Linked DNA regions of Nothobranchius furzeri. Each later gene encodes a partner of the first gene's protein in a complex. Links are inferred from orthologs where the notes say so. Each region holds a gene or a part of one and is shown on either strand. Other genes may lie near its edges.

Region 1 (6,966 bases):
TCAAACTCATTTTAGCTCAGGGGCCACATCGAGGGAAATCTGGTCCCAAGTGGGCCGGACCGGTAAATAAAAAAAAAAAACTTCAGATTGTTTTCTTTGTTTTAATACAATCAATATAAAACAAGGCTGGAGCCTGAGGACAGTGTAGTAAAAGTACAACACCTGAAGTGTACTTGAAAATTTGAAAAAAAATAAAAAAAACAATAAATAAATAAAAACATTCCTTAGTGATTCAAAGAGCTTACAGATCACATGGCTAGATCAGTTTCATGCAGCACTTAAAGTATATTTGACTCATTTTACTTAACATCTTTTAGCTTTCACCAGCACATCAACATCAGAAGTCACATCCTGAGTGGCGGCCAACTTCAGGATGTGATTCAAGTTCTTGTGTGAGCCTTGAGCGCAGCTTTGTTTTATTTATACTCATTACAGAGGAAACTTGCTCACAAAGATACGTTTATTTTCACTCTACATTGTAAAGTATGAAAACAAAGTTTACACAACCATCTCGCGGGCCGGATTTAACCCGCTTGCGGGCCGGATTCGGCCCTCGGGCCGCGTATTTGACACCCCTGCTTTAGAGGGACGGACCAGCGGAAAAAACAAAACCGCTAACATGGAAGCTTCTTATTAGCTTTAGCCACTGAGCGTGAGATGTACTCATCAGGAGGATTAAAGTAAAGTGTGTAAAACTAAAATCAAATACCACAGCAACACCACCGACTCGCGACAGCACCTTACACAATTCCATCCTGGGTTGGACGACAGGAAGCTGGTGGTCGTTGATCCTAACCAGCCGACACTCGAGGAAGGATTAGCAAAACTTTCCCGCAACTCCGGCCTCTTCAAGAAACTCGGCGTTACTTTGCTGCAGAGCTGAGGCAGCACCAGGGAGGCTTTGGTCGTTTATAAGTGGTGAGTCTGTAACGCCATCACGTGTTTTCACAAAGACTACGTGATGGTGGGACAAAGTGTGTGTGTGTGGGGGGGGGGGGCATCTCTGCGCCCTTTAGCTTGAACCTAACTCGCTTTTTATACAACATGAAGTCTTCACGAGCCGCTCCAAAAGGTGTTTGTTCGTCACAATCCCACATGAGCTGTCAGGGGACGTAAAGACCAGAAGCATCGCTCCTGTTTTCTGACTCTCAGCTGATTTGGTTTTAAAAAAATAACTGACATGTTTGCTTTCATTTTCCACGTTAGATTTCATGCAAACCTACGCAGGGTATGTGTTCGGTCGTACATAAATAATTTAGTGGAGTAAAAAGTATTTGGTAACTTCAATTATTTTGAAAGAATCAAAGGAAAACTAAACAATGGCATATTGCATTGGAGAGAGTGGTAACCATGGTGATCGTTTAATCATCTAAACGGGTCTCTCTCCTACCAAGCGAAATACGAAAAACGTGCGTGTGAATTTTTGCGCTCGTGCGCGTGTCGTGCACAGGCGACCCAGCGACGCGATCCCAGAAAGTTGAAACATTTTCAACTTTTCATCGCTGTCGCTCGGACGAGGACCAATCAACGGAGGTTTCATTCACTGACCAATGAGCGGACAGGATGCTCCGTGCATCTCCGAGCAAACATGGAGGAGACGTTGATACTTGCTGTGACGGGTTTCCCAGAACTGTAGGCTACAACATTTCTACCAAAGAATATAGAGATATTCAGAAAAAGGCTGCGGCGTGGGTCCCTCATTAAATGACGGTACTCTTCGATTCCTTCTCTGGTTTGTAATATGGGATGAAACCATTCTGGGGGGGTGTTTTATAGAAAAATCAGAAGTAAGATTTCACATAACTCTAGCAGCACCTTGTGAAACATCATATCTACCGCTTTATTAACTCTGAACCGCTTAAATAACCTTAATTCCCTCCAACCCGACACAGCCAATCAAAACAACGGAAGTTTTGATTTCGCCATGGAACAGAACGCGTCGACGGCTTCGCCGCTGGCCGCGGGTCGCCTCCCGCGTGTCGAGCCCATTAATCAGCGATGATTGAGTGCGGGTGGGCCAGGAGCCTGAATGCACACACACTGGTTCCAAAAACAACATAAAACAGGATGTTTTGGTTTCACTTTTCAACAACGGTGATTGGTTATTTTGGGTTGATGACGGAGACAAAGAACCTCTGATGTGGAGCAGGAGCTAGAAAAACCTGATGACCTGCTACAAACAACACCAGAACCCAACACGAGGCTTGAAAAACGTACCCGGCTCCAAACCGGACTCCAGACTGAGGACCAGCTGCCGGGTCTCCATGTTAAAGAGGCCGATCTGCCCATTAGTGAAGGACGTGACCAGGTGAGCCGGTTCGCTACACACCAGGTCTACAGAGGAGGGGGTTCCCAGCTCTGGAACAGAAACAACGGTTTTATTCCTGCTTTTAAACCCCTCCCCCAAAAGAGAGGTGAAATTAAAATCCACAAATAAATAAATTCTGTACTTTTGTTTTCATTGAATAATGCAAGGGCCGGAGAGGTGGTGTTGGCGTCCCAGAGCCTCACGGTGCCGTCTGCGGAGCAGGAGAGGAGGCGTTGGTGTGTGCTGCTGTACACCAAACCCCAAACCGAGTCGGTGTGTCCACTCAGCTCGCCACGCAGCACCGCCGGGTCTGTTGCACGGAACACAGAATATATCAGCTTAAACCAGGCGTGTCCAAACAGCAGTTCGGGGGTTGATCGTGGTCCTCAGAGTGGTTTAACATTTCTAGAATGATGACTTTTCCTATCCAACATGCTGTTGTTGTAGATCCAGACTTTCTAACATCTTTATGGTCAGATTTTTACTAACATGCATATTTTGGGAAGCACAAATTAAAACAAGACCATTAAATAATGGTTGCAAGTTTGAAGAATAAAAGAAAATCACATTTTTGTTGTCCAATAGGAAGTGATGTTTTTCAGGAGCAATTTTTACCATAATGCTTGAAATACTAGGGCTGGGCAATAAATCAGATTTATCGTTATAATTTCTGACATTTTTGTTTTTTCCACGTCTCAACATAACACATGTAACAGCCCCATCTAGTGGGCAACTTTTGTTTCTGCGCATATATGTAGTTACCGTCCATTTATCGTTGTTGAGGTGAAATCCTCCATACATGGTGATACTGATGTTAGGCCGTATCTCCCAGCCCTAACGGCAACCATGTGAGACAAGCACAAAAAACCTCACCCGATCATTGTGAACGTCCTGTTCTAAATGACTGCTTCTTGCTCCACCCATCAAGCAGCCATGATAAATGACTCGCACTTGTATAAGCGCCCCTCTGAGTCAGAGGACTCCAAAGTGCTTTACACTACATTGTATCAGAGTAGACAAGGTGGGATAATGATTAAGATCCCATAGTTGTCACACACACAACACACACACACACACACACACACACACACACACACACACACACACACACACACACACACACACACACACACACACACACACACACACACACACACACAGGGTTCAACCCCCCCAATCCAACCCCTGCTGAGTGTCAAGAAGGGAGGCATTGGGTCCCATTCTTATAAAGTCTTTGGTATGACCTGACTGGAATTTGACCTCCGATCTCCCAGTCCCGGGGCAGACACTCCCCCACTAGGCCACTGAGCTGGTCGAGGGTTGAGTGTCTTGCCCAAGGACACAACAGCAGAATTCTCTAGCAGAGATGGGATCGAGCTTGCGAACATCCGATCACTAATCCGCTCTCCCTCCCGAGCTACCGCTGCCCCTAAGCCCTGACCCTTTTGTGAGGTTTTCCCAGATTGCTGGTGCTACCGAGCTGCTGGGATTTTGAAGCCAACAAACCAAGAAAGCTGAAAGCACCTCCTTCTTCTCCATAAAAATGCCACACTACATTAGCTAGCATGCTAACTAGTTAAATGGCTACGTTGGTGCGTTACGTGAAGAATCATGGCAGAAAAGGGGCCAACAGTGGGTCGAAAGTGTAATACTGAACCTTCAGGAACAAGTATCGTGTATATTCAAAAAGTAACGTGAGTGAACGGCACAAAAAAAAACTCCTATTCCACCTTCAATGTGAAAAATGTGGCCCTTGACTTAAAAAGTTGGACTAACTATAGAAACGCAAACAGGAAGTTTACCGTAGGAGTCGTAAGGATCGATGTTGGGGTTGGGAGTGTTCCAACACTGGATGGTGCCGTCTACCCCTCCACTGAAACACTGCTCCCCTGTGCTGCTCATAACAACACTCAGTACAGCTCCCCTGCAACAACAGAACATTTACACCAAACATACCATCCATCAAATCAAGTAAAAACTAAAGGTGAGCTTTACCTGTGAGCTCTGAACGTGTAGATGGGTTCCACATCTAAAGACGTACTCCTGCAGAGAACAAGTTCAACAAACACTTTAAGTCCCTTTAAAACAACCCTGGTGTGTAAAATGTTGCTCTTTCTAAACTCCATCCAGAGAGGAGATGGTCTTACTTTTTAGCGGGAGTGGTCTTCTGAAGGTTCCACATTTTGAGCGTGTGGTCCTCTGAGGCTGTGATGAGGACGGGCTCCACGGGGTGGAAGGTAAGAGCGCGGATCCCGTCGAAATGACTCCTCAGGGTGAACTTGGGGTTCCACGTCTTCCTCATGGCGTCCTTGTTGTTGCCGATCTGAGGATGGAATGTTTTACAGTGGTGTGAGTCGGACATTTTGACGTATTTACATGCTCGAACAAGATTAACGCCAACTATGGTGATGAAGCTGAAAACATTCTCCCCACTCACATCGTAAGCGAGGCTCTCAGCTTCGTTGGCCACTGTAAGTCCTGCCAGATCTCCCAGGCCCAGAACGCTCTCCATCGCCTCATCCGTCCCGATAATGAACGACTTTCCTGAGGTGGGGGGGAAAGTAAGCGCCTCAACTAGAGAAAATAGAATTTAAAAAGTCAAAACAGCTAAAAAAATAGTGTTTTTTTATTAACGGTTAATTAAAAAAAAATAAAGGTACCTTCTTCCGTCCGGTTCCCCTCGTGTTCGTTGAAGCGAGCCACATTGGGCCGGGACTGCGGGGCGGACGGAGGCTGCATGTGAGACAAGTCCTCTACATCTCTCAGGTTAGCCAGCATGTCTTGCAGCTTGGACCGGTTGGGTCCTGTTAACAGGTCCGGTTACAAGTTAACACAGCGGACTCACAGTGGAGGCGAGTGGAAAAAAGAAACCAGAAAACTGCAAACAGGCAGCGAAACAGAATGAATATGGAGGGGAAGCAGCACCCAAAGGAAGAAAAACGTATCTAATAACCAAAGCTGGAGATAGGAGAGTCACCAAAGCTGGAGATAGGAGAGTCACCAAAGCTGGAGATAGGAGGGTCAGCAGAGTCCTGTGAGGTAGAACAAGTGTTCAGGCACGTTTATCGGTTAGTGTGAACTGTGTGGAGAGACTTGGTGAAAAAGACTCACGCCAGGATGAAGTTTCAACTAGAAGTTTATTAAATCTAAGAAAAACTTTAAGTCAGTCAACTAATCGCCTTTACTTACATGTCCACTATGTAAGAATGAAGAAAGAATGACATCCTGTGGTCAAAACGCGGATACTGCGGCCCATTTTCCTGTAATCGGAAGGTTGCAGGTGCAAGACACTATAAAGTAGCTTTCCGGAGGTTTCCCCTTTCAGAAATGATGTATGATTATTCAGAAACCCGTACAAGTGATTGTTTTATCATGTACTGAGTGTAGAGGGGTAAATAGTGTTGCTTTTCACGTTACGTGTGATATAATGTAAGCAAAACTTCTTCTTTTATTTATTTTTTTTGCTAAGCACGGCCCCTGCCCCACAGAGCTCCACGCAATAGCAAACATAGGGCCGACCAGAACTAACCAATGGCGTTAAACTACCGCTTACCTGCTTCAATTTTAAGGAATACCTCGGCTGATGCAGAGTTGATGAACTTTTCACGGACAAGAAAGTCTCTAAAATATAAATATACGAGAACACAACATGACATGAGAATAATACTCGTAAAACTGCATGTTTTAGCTCCGTTTGTCAGCTACAGAAACCCATTCATAAACAGGAAACGTGAGGTCGCCATCTTAAAAAAACAGATCCAGAGACCCCAAGAAGGCGCTATAGGGAGCCTAAGTCTACTTCCGCATCGTGGGTCTCTAGAAGAACGAAAAAATGAATGAATACAAGTCAACAGGGCTAAAAACGCTATTTTCTAATTCGCTTTGCCGTACGCCCTGGATCGCTCATATGTCGTACTGCATTTTAAATGAAAAGTAATGATGGGTGTTTCAACCACGCCAGTCACGTACTTTTGAGTTTGATTAGCTTGTAAAGGTTCGTAATTAGCATGACTACAAACCAGAAATCGGCAAGTCGCATATGTGGTGACATCACCACATAATCTCCTCTCCCCAAAGTGGCTGCTACTTACCAAATGACCAGATTTATGGTTGTTCTTTCCTCCTGTGGGAAGTTTGCTGAACTTACAGCCCTTTTCACTCAGTTTTCTCCCGTGTCTGGTTCGTTGACGTCAATTTCATGAAGCGCGTTTGTAGTCCTGGACTTATTTTCACACAAAACCTAAAATAGAGCGCGTGCGAACCCCCCCCCCCCCTTTCTTCCAACATGATGAGACATTCGACTGTTTTACAATTATTTCACTGTAAAATTCTTACATATTGCTCCTTTAATGTTTACTAGTGCCTCAAAAGAGAAATAGTTAGCACGTAGCGATCAATAACAGAAAGAAACAAAAAAATCTTTTATATAGCGTCTATCAAGATAAAATTCACAAGGTGCTTCACAAGAACAATTTTTTTTAATAAAAAGTTTTTTTTAATTATTATTTAAAAATATAAAAGTGAAAAAAATAGTCATTAAAAATGTGAGGAAAGGGAAATCTGTGGATCCAGGGAAAAACGAGTAAAAAGCTGAATAAGGAGCGGGTGATTATGAAGGTCATGCAAAAGCCAGCTTGAACAGGTGAGTTTTTAGCTGC
Region 2 (6,966 bases), on another chromosome or scaffold:
AAGGGCAGAAAATTATTCAAATAAAATCAAGAAAAAAAAAAGAAAAAAATTAGGTAGATTTATACCCAATACACAGTTTTACTAGTGACAAGCAATAATATATAAGCATTTAATATTTATTCATGTGATAGAAGTCAGTCCCACATCCAGGGCCCTATCAAGGCATTTGGGGACCAAGTCAAATATAGGCTTGGAGCCCCCATCACCTGTCATCACCCCATTTCAGCAGGGACCTGAAAAGGCTCAACAGCCTAATAAAGAAGGCTGGTTCTGTTCTGGGGACGACTGTGGAACCACTGGAGGAGATCATGCAAAGAAGGATTCTCCAGAGAATCAAGAAAATGATGGACAACCCTGAGCATTCTCTTCACAAGACTGTCCGACAACGGAAGAGTGTCTTCAGTCAGAGGCTTCTTCAGTTTCGCTGCAACACTAGGGATGGGTACCGAATTCGGTACTTTTTAAGGTACCGACCGAATTCCATAGTACCGACCGAGCACCGATTCACGTCATTTCAAACGGTGCCTCATTTCGGTACCCGTCCATCCTAACGAGAACTTGCCAAGACAGCTGCGCATGCGCAGGAGCGTTTTGTCGTCGCTTGCTGTGAACCAGTTGTAAACAGAGCAGCATGGTAGAGAGAACGCAGGCTAAAGCTTGGGTCCACTTCACTAAATGTGATGGGTAACTGGATGATGAAACCAGCGACAACTATCTAAATGAGACATCCTCATCTTAATCTGCTCCGGTAGGTAAATATAATTAGCTTGATATATTAGCTTCCGTTTCGCTAATGGTGCGTTCGCTTTCTCCTCGGAACTCCGAATTTCCGACTAGAACAACATGAACGCGCTCTAAAGTTTGGCTTCACTTTACTAAATGTGACGGGTGAAGACGAAACCAGTGACGATCTAAGTGTGAGGCATCATCGTTTTAATCTGCTCCAGCAGCTAAATAAACTGTTTAAGATATCGTTAGCTTGATATGTTAGCTTCCATTGCCACCATTGTTATCAGCTAATGGTGCGTTCGCTTTCTCCTCGGAAATTCTAACTTCCCAGTAGCAAAAATCAAATGAAAAAAGATGGCAAAAGGAATGAAGATACACAGTAAATTTAGTTCACAGTAAAGATGTTTGCTTCAGTTTAATTATGGGCTTATAAAACTACAAGGACAATGTTAAAATACAAACAGTTGTATGTTATCGTGATATTTATCAAATATTGTTATATATTGAGAAAAATATATATTTAATTATAAAAGAGAATTAAAATAATAAACACTCAAAAGTATCGAAAATTGGTACCGTTAAGTACCGGTATCGATTCCTAGGTACCGGTAATTAGTACCGGATCGATTCAAATGTCAAAGGTACCCATCCCTATGCAACACTGACCGCTACTGGAGATCCTTCCTGCCAACAGCCATTGTAATATACAATAACTCTTTGACGACTTGATTATTATTATTATCCTGAGCTACTACAGCAATCAATTTCCCTCTGGGATTAATAAAGTATTTTTGAATTGAATTGAATTTTGAACCTCACTCCCTGCTCAGTTACTATAAGATGGCAGCATGCTGAGAGTACAGATTGTTGTTGCTTTTAATTAATAAACAATCATTTTAAAGCACTGTTATTATATCTGACTGTTTTTAACAGCAATCCTAGCTCAGACACCACATCACTTTCCACATATATGTCATGAGCTCACTGAGCGTCAGATTACCAGATTCATACTGAAGTTGTTTTGCTGAAAGTAGCTTAAAGTAATGCAAAAGTAGTGTAATGCCTTACATTTTCAAATCAGTAATACTGTAATGTAATGAATTACTTTAAAATGAGGGTAACAAGTAGTAAATAATGCATTACCGTTTTGAAGTAACTTGCCCAACACTGGTTACAGCCTGAAGTCTGGAAGACATAGACATCACCAGACGTTGGGTTTCATCCCTGGTGATGCTCTGCCAGGCCTCTACTGCAACAGTCTTCAGTTCCTGCTTGTTCCTGGGGCCTTTTCCCTTCAGTTTTGTCTTCAGCAAGTGCAATGAATGCCCAATCGGATTCAGGTCCGGTGACTGACTCGGCCATTGCAAAACAGTCCACTTCTTTCCCTTCAAAAACTCTTTGGTTGATTTTGCAGTATGCTTTGGGTCATTGTCCATCTGCACTGTGAAGCGCCATCCAATGAGTTCTGAGGCATTTGGCTGAACATGAGCAGATAATATTGCCCGAAACACTTCAGAATTCATCGTGCTGCTTTTGTCAGCAGTCACATCATCAATAAATACAAGAGAACCAGTTCCACTGGCAGCCATACAGTACATACCCACGCCATGACACTTCCAGCACCATGCTTCACTGATGAGGTGGTATGCTTAGGATCATGAGCAGTTCCTTTCTGTCTCCATACTCTTCTCTTCCCATCACTCTGGTACAAGTGGATCTTGGTCTCATCTGTCCATAGGATGTTGTTCCAGAACTGTGAAGGCTTTATTACATGTTGTTTGGCAAACTCTAATCTGGCCTTCCTGTTTTTGGGGCTCACCAATGGTTTAGATCTTGTGGTGAACCCTCACACTGGTGGAGTCTTCTCTTGATTGTTGACTTTGACACAGATACACCTACCTCCTGGAGAGTGTTCGTGATCTGGCCAACTGTTGTGAAGGGTGTTTTCTTCACCAGGGAAAGGATTCTTTGGTCATCCACCACAGTTGTTTTCCCTGGTCTTCCGGGTCTTTTGGTGTTGCTGAGCTCACCGGTGCGTTCCTTCTTTTTGAGAATGTTCCAAACTGTTGTTTTGACCACGCCTAATGTTTTTGCTATCTCTCTGATAGGTTTCTTTTGTTTTTTCAGCCTAATGATGGCTTGCTTCTCTGATAGTGACAGCTCTTTGGATCTCATCTTGACAGTTGACAGCAACAGATTCCAAATGCAAATAGCACACTTGAAATGAACTCTGGACCTTTTATCTGCTCATTGTAATTGGGAGAATGAGGGAATAACACACACCTGGCCATGGAACAGCTGAGAAGCCAATTGTCCCATTACTTTTGGTCCCTGAACAAGTAGGAGGCACATATGCAAAATGTTGTAATCCCTACACCGTTCACCTGATTTGGATGTAAATACCCTCAAATAAAAGCTGACAGTCTGCAGTTAAATCACATCTTGACGATTCATTTGATATCCATTGTGGTGGTGTATAGAGCCAAAAAAAGTTAGCACTGTGTTGATGTCCCAATTTTTATGGACCTGACTGTAAATTTGACCCTTAGAGGTCCCTCGTGCATTTTTCTGTGCAGGCAGTTGTGTTTTTGAATAACTTTAGCTGTGCTGATGCAATTCTTTTTATTTTTTGCTCTGGTGTGTGTTTTGGGGGAAGTTCACTAAAAGTTCACTAAAAATAAAATCAGTCATCAGACATTAATTAGCTAATTCACTAGATTTCCTTTTCTGAACAAGAAAGCTCAACTTAGCAGCATAAACTGGACTGACTCGAGGGTCTAAAGCCAGGTAATGTGTGTTTTACACAATAAACACAAATCTTCTCCTGTTCTCTTCCATACCATCAGGGGTCACACTTACTTTCCGTCTTTGAAGTATGTTTTGAGGGTGTCACTGAAGCTTTTCGAGTACTTCACAAACTCCTTTTTCTGGTGCTCCAGGGGCTTTATGAGCATTAAAAGTAAGGAATGATTAGCAGAAGCAAAGATAAGATTTTAAACATTAACAGACATGCTCCACTACTCACTCTGCGAGTCTGGTACTGGTGTCTCTTAATGGCAGCATTGACCGAGTCCAGGAGGTCTTTTATGGCGCTTGCTATGTCTCTGTGAACAGAATGCAACTTGGATAAGAAACAGAACTTCAAACCAACTACTCAGAATGAAACACGAGGCTCTATGTTTACATAACAATCATTAAAAGTGTTCTGATATCGACTTGGGAAGAACCTCAGAACTGATTTCTCTGATCCACAAGATATTTAAGGTAACTTGTCTCTAGATCAGGGTATTCAATTCTGGGCCTGGAAGGCCGGTATCCAGCATGTTTTTGTGGTTTCTCTGCTCAAACATACTTGATTTAGTGGACGAAGCACCTATGGAGCCTCTATGCCCGGCATTGAATACTCTTGCTCTAGATCAGGGGTGTCAAATATGCGGCCCGCGGGCCGGATGTGTAAACTTTATTTTCATACTTTACAATGTAGAGTTAAAATAAACTTATCTTTGTGAGCAAGTTTTCTCTGTAATGAGTATAAATAAAACAAAGCTGTGCTCAAGGCCCACACAAGAACTTGAGTCACATCCTGAAGTTGGCTGCCACTCGGGATGTGACTTCTGATATTGATGTGCTGGTGAAAGCTAAAAGATGTAAAGTAAAATGAGTCAAATATACTTTAAGTGCTGCATGAAACTGATCTTGCCATGTGATCTGTAAGCTCTTTGGATCACTAAGGAATGTTTTTATTTGTTGATTTTTAAATTTTTTTCAAATTTTCAAGTACACTTCAGGTGTTGTACTTGTACTACACTGTCCTCAGGCTCCAGCCTTGTTTTATATTGACTGTATTAAAACAAAGAAAACAATCTGAAGTATTTTTTAATTTACCGGTCCGGCCCACTTGGGACTAGATTTCCCTCAATGTGGCCCCTGAGCTAAAATGAGTTTGACACCCCTGCTCTAGATGGTTTAAAAACCCGTGTGTTAAGTTGCAGACACTCACTTGATAGTTTGTAGAAAGCGTACTCTGTCATTGATCTCATCTGGGATTTTGCTAAGGATGTGTTTCAGTGCTCTGGCCTTCTCATTTACGTCCTGGAACTCCTGCTCAGGCCTGTCGATCATGAACTCTGCAGGAGAACATTCCCACAGATACATTTATCAACACGCTCAAAAAAACAAACATGAAATTAGGGCGAGAAAACCCAAAACATCGTTTCCTTAACTTACCTTCAACATCATCCGCCGCCATGCGCAGCAGAGATTCAGTGAAGTTGATCTGAACGTTCTTTTTCTCCAAGATCTTCATTATGATGTCCTGTGTGAGACCAGGGTTCTCCCTCTCCGCCTGTAAACGAGGTCAAACATGCATGTAGGGTAGGGGTGTAACGGTTCATGGGGGTTATTCGAACCGCTTCGGTTCGGGCAGTTCAGTTCGGTCCTCTTGCGTAGCGTTTCGGTTTATTTTTTATGTTAAATAATGAATTTTTCACACATTTGCATGATTTAAGTGCAGCAGATAAAAGTTCCTAGGCGAGTTTCCGCACGGACCCTGTATTGAGTGACGCATGGTGGCTGCACGTGCCCGGTCTCCGTTTTTAAAATGTGATCTGCAAATTCTTATCAATGTCTTTCAGAGCGGATCAGACCAGTTGACTGTCGCTGCTACTGTGGAGTCTGTGTAGAGACTCTGAACGGAGCGTTGTGTCGCCTCTCCCTCCCTTCTCTCACAGTGTGCAGACACGCAGAGGCAAACATGTAAACAAACATGTCTGCTGAACTTTTCCGCTGTGACAACTAATGTACAGATTTCATCTTACAATGAAAAATCTGGCGCAGAGGACGCTCGTTATTTAATACGAGTTTTAAAGAAGAAACTCTGGGAGGTGTGAGGCGAGTTTTTAAGAAATAAAAACATGTCTAACACAACACTCGTCTGTATGAGAATGAGCTGTGCAAATCATAGACATAAATACGTAGACGCCCCATTGGGTGCTGGAGAGTGTACCAGTGTCGCCACCATGTTAGATGGGTCTCCTCACTCTCCAAAGTCAGTGTAGAGTGAGCAACTATGCCTGTTTCTGTGCAGCCTAACAAGCAGCGTACTATTGAAAACAGATCATGTGGGATTACTAGTGACTTTTCTAGTCTACCAGATAAGATTTTATATTTAATCTTTTTTTTTATTTAATTATATTTTAATTATGATGCCGTACCTTGTGTTTGATTTTGTGAAAATGCTTGATAAAACATGTTTTTTAGTTGGGTGAGCACCTTGCTCAGTTGAAATGAATGCACTGGGGGCTAATCTATCTAAAATGGCAGTCGGCCATTACGGCATCTCCAAAAGACAGCGCCAGACCACAGGGCATCTACGTATATATGTCTGTGGTGCTAATAACCTGTGAAATAATTAAATACATCATGCTAGATTAGCAGCCTGTGATGACACCTGGTTCTGCTCACTAGGAGCCCCTTCAGATATTAAATAAATAATCTAATAATAATATACCGAAAATTCATCGAACCGAGCTCTTCAAACCACTGAACCGATTACAAGTTTAGTGTACCGTTACACCCCTAATGTAGGATGAGCAATATAAACCTGAAACTATTTCATTACTTTAGTATAAAATTCCTAAAAATAAATAAATTAATAAATAAAAATAAACAAATACAAGAAAGCAACTAAATGATCTCCTACTTCAGGATGCAGTCTCTCCTTTATTAAATTCTTATCTACATGCTGCAAATACACCTGCAGCATTTTGAAGGTGATATATAGAACATAGAGCAACATTGATAAAACGATAAAATCTTTTAGATCAGCACTGTAATGCAAAGATGATTCATTTGATTATCAATTAACAGTAAATTTGAAAATATTTAGTTTTGCTGAATAAAAACCGTGAGGCAAAATGTTTGACTGTGTGGGCTCTGATTCGTTCCATCCATCCTATACAAACAACATCTAAATCTAGTTGGAATAGTACAAATATTCAAACCGAGAGTAGACCAAATGAATACTTTGAAACAGTCCTTCTCTATAATGGTACTCTAGCGCCCTCTAGTGGTACAGATAAGAAATGCTGGTCACAGTTTGGGTTATGTCTTTTTGGGGGTTCTGCTCTTTCACATGTAGAGGTTTTGGAAAGAGTTTAGCATGTTTGTTATTAGCTATATTTGGAGAGATTTTTCTTTATAATAAATAAATGGTAAATGGCAATACACCTGCGTCAC

Evidence for each region. Proteins that work in one complex are often made in the same cells at the same time.
Region 2: striatin (region 1) and programmed cell death protein 10-B share a complex: the UniProt entries of both Homo sapiens proteins name them as parts of the core of STRIPAK complex. The link is inferred for Nothobranchius furzeri from reciprocal best matches to the Homo sapiens genes STRN and PDCD10.

Annotation. Positions count from the first base shown.
Region 1 is NC_091752.1:1,675,007-1,681,972, forward strand, and holds part of striatin, read right to left. Parts: intron 5,113-6,966; coding exon 4,969-5,112; intron 4,883-4,968; coding exon 4,746-4,882; intron 4,632-4,745; coding exon 4,456-4,631; intron 4,352-4,455; coding exon 4,304-4,351; intron 4,233-4,303; coding exon 4,111-4,232; intron 2,619-4,110; coding exon 2,451-2,618; intron 2,359-2,450; coding exon 2,218-2,358; intron 1-2,217. UniProt on the Homo sapiens protein: Calmodulin-binding scaffolding protein which is the center of the striatin-interacting phosphatase and kinase (STRIPAK) complexes.
Region 2 is NC_091758.1:24,819,373-24,826,338, forward strand, and holds part of programmed cell death protein 10-B, read right to left. Parts: intron 5,075-6,966; coding exon 4,957-5,074; intron 4,857-4,956; coding exon 4,730-4,856; intron 3,834-4,729; coding exon 3,755-3,833; intron 3,672-3,754; coding exon 3,589-3,671; intron 1-3,588. UniProt on the Homo sapiens protein: Promotes cell proliferation. Modulates apoptotic pathways. Increases mitogen-activated protein kinase activity and STK26 activity. Important for cell migration, and for normal structure and assembly of the Golgi complex.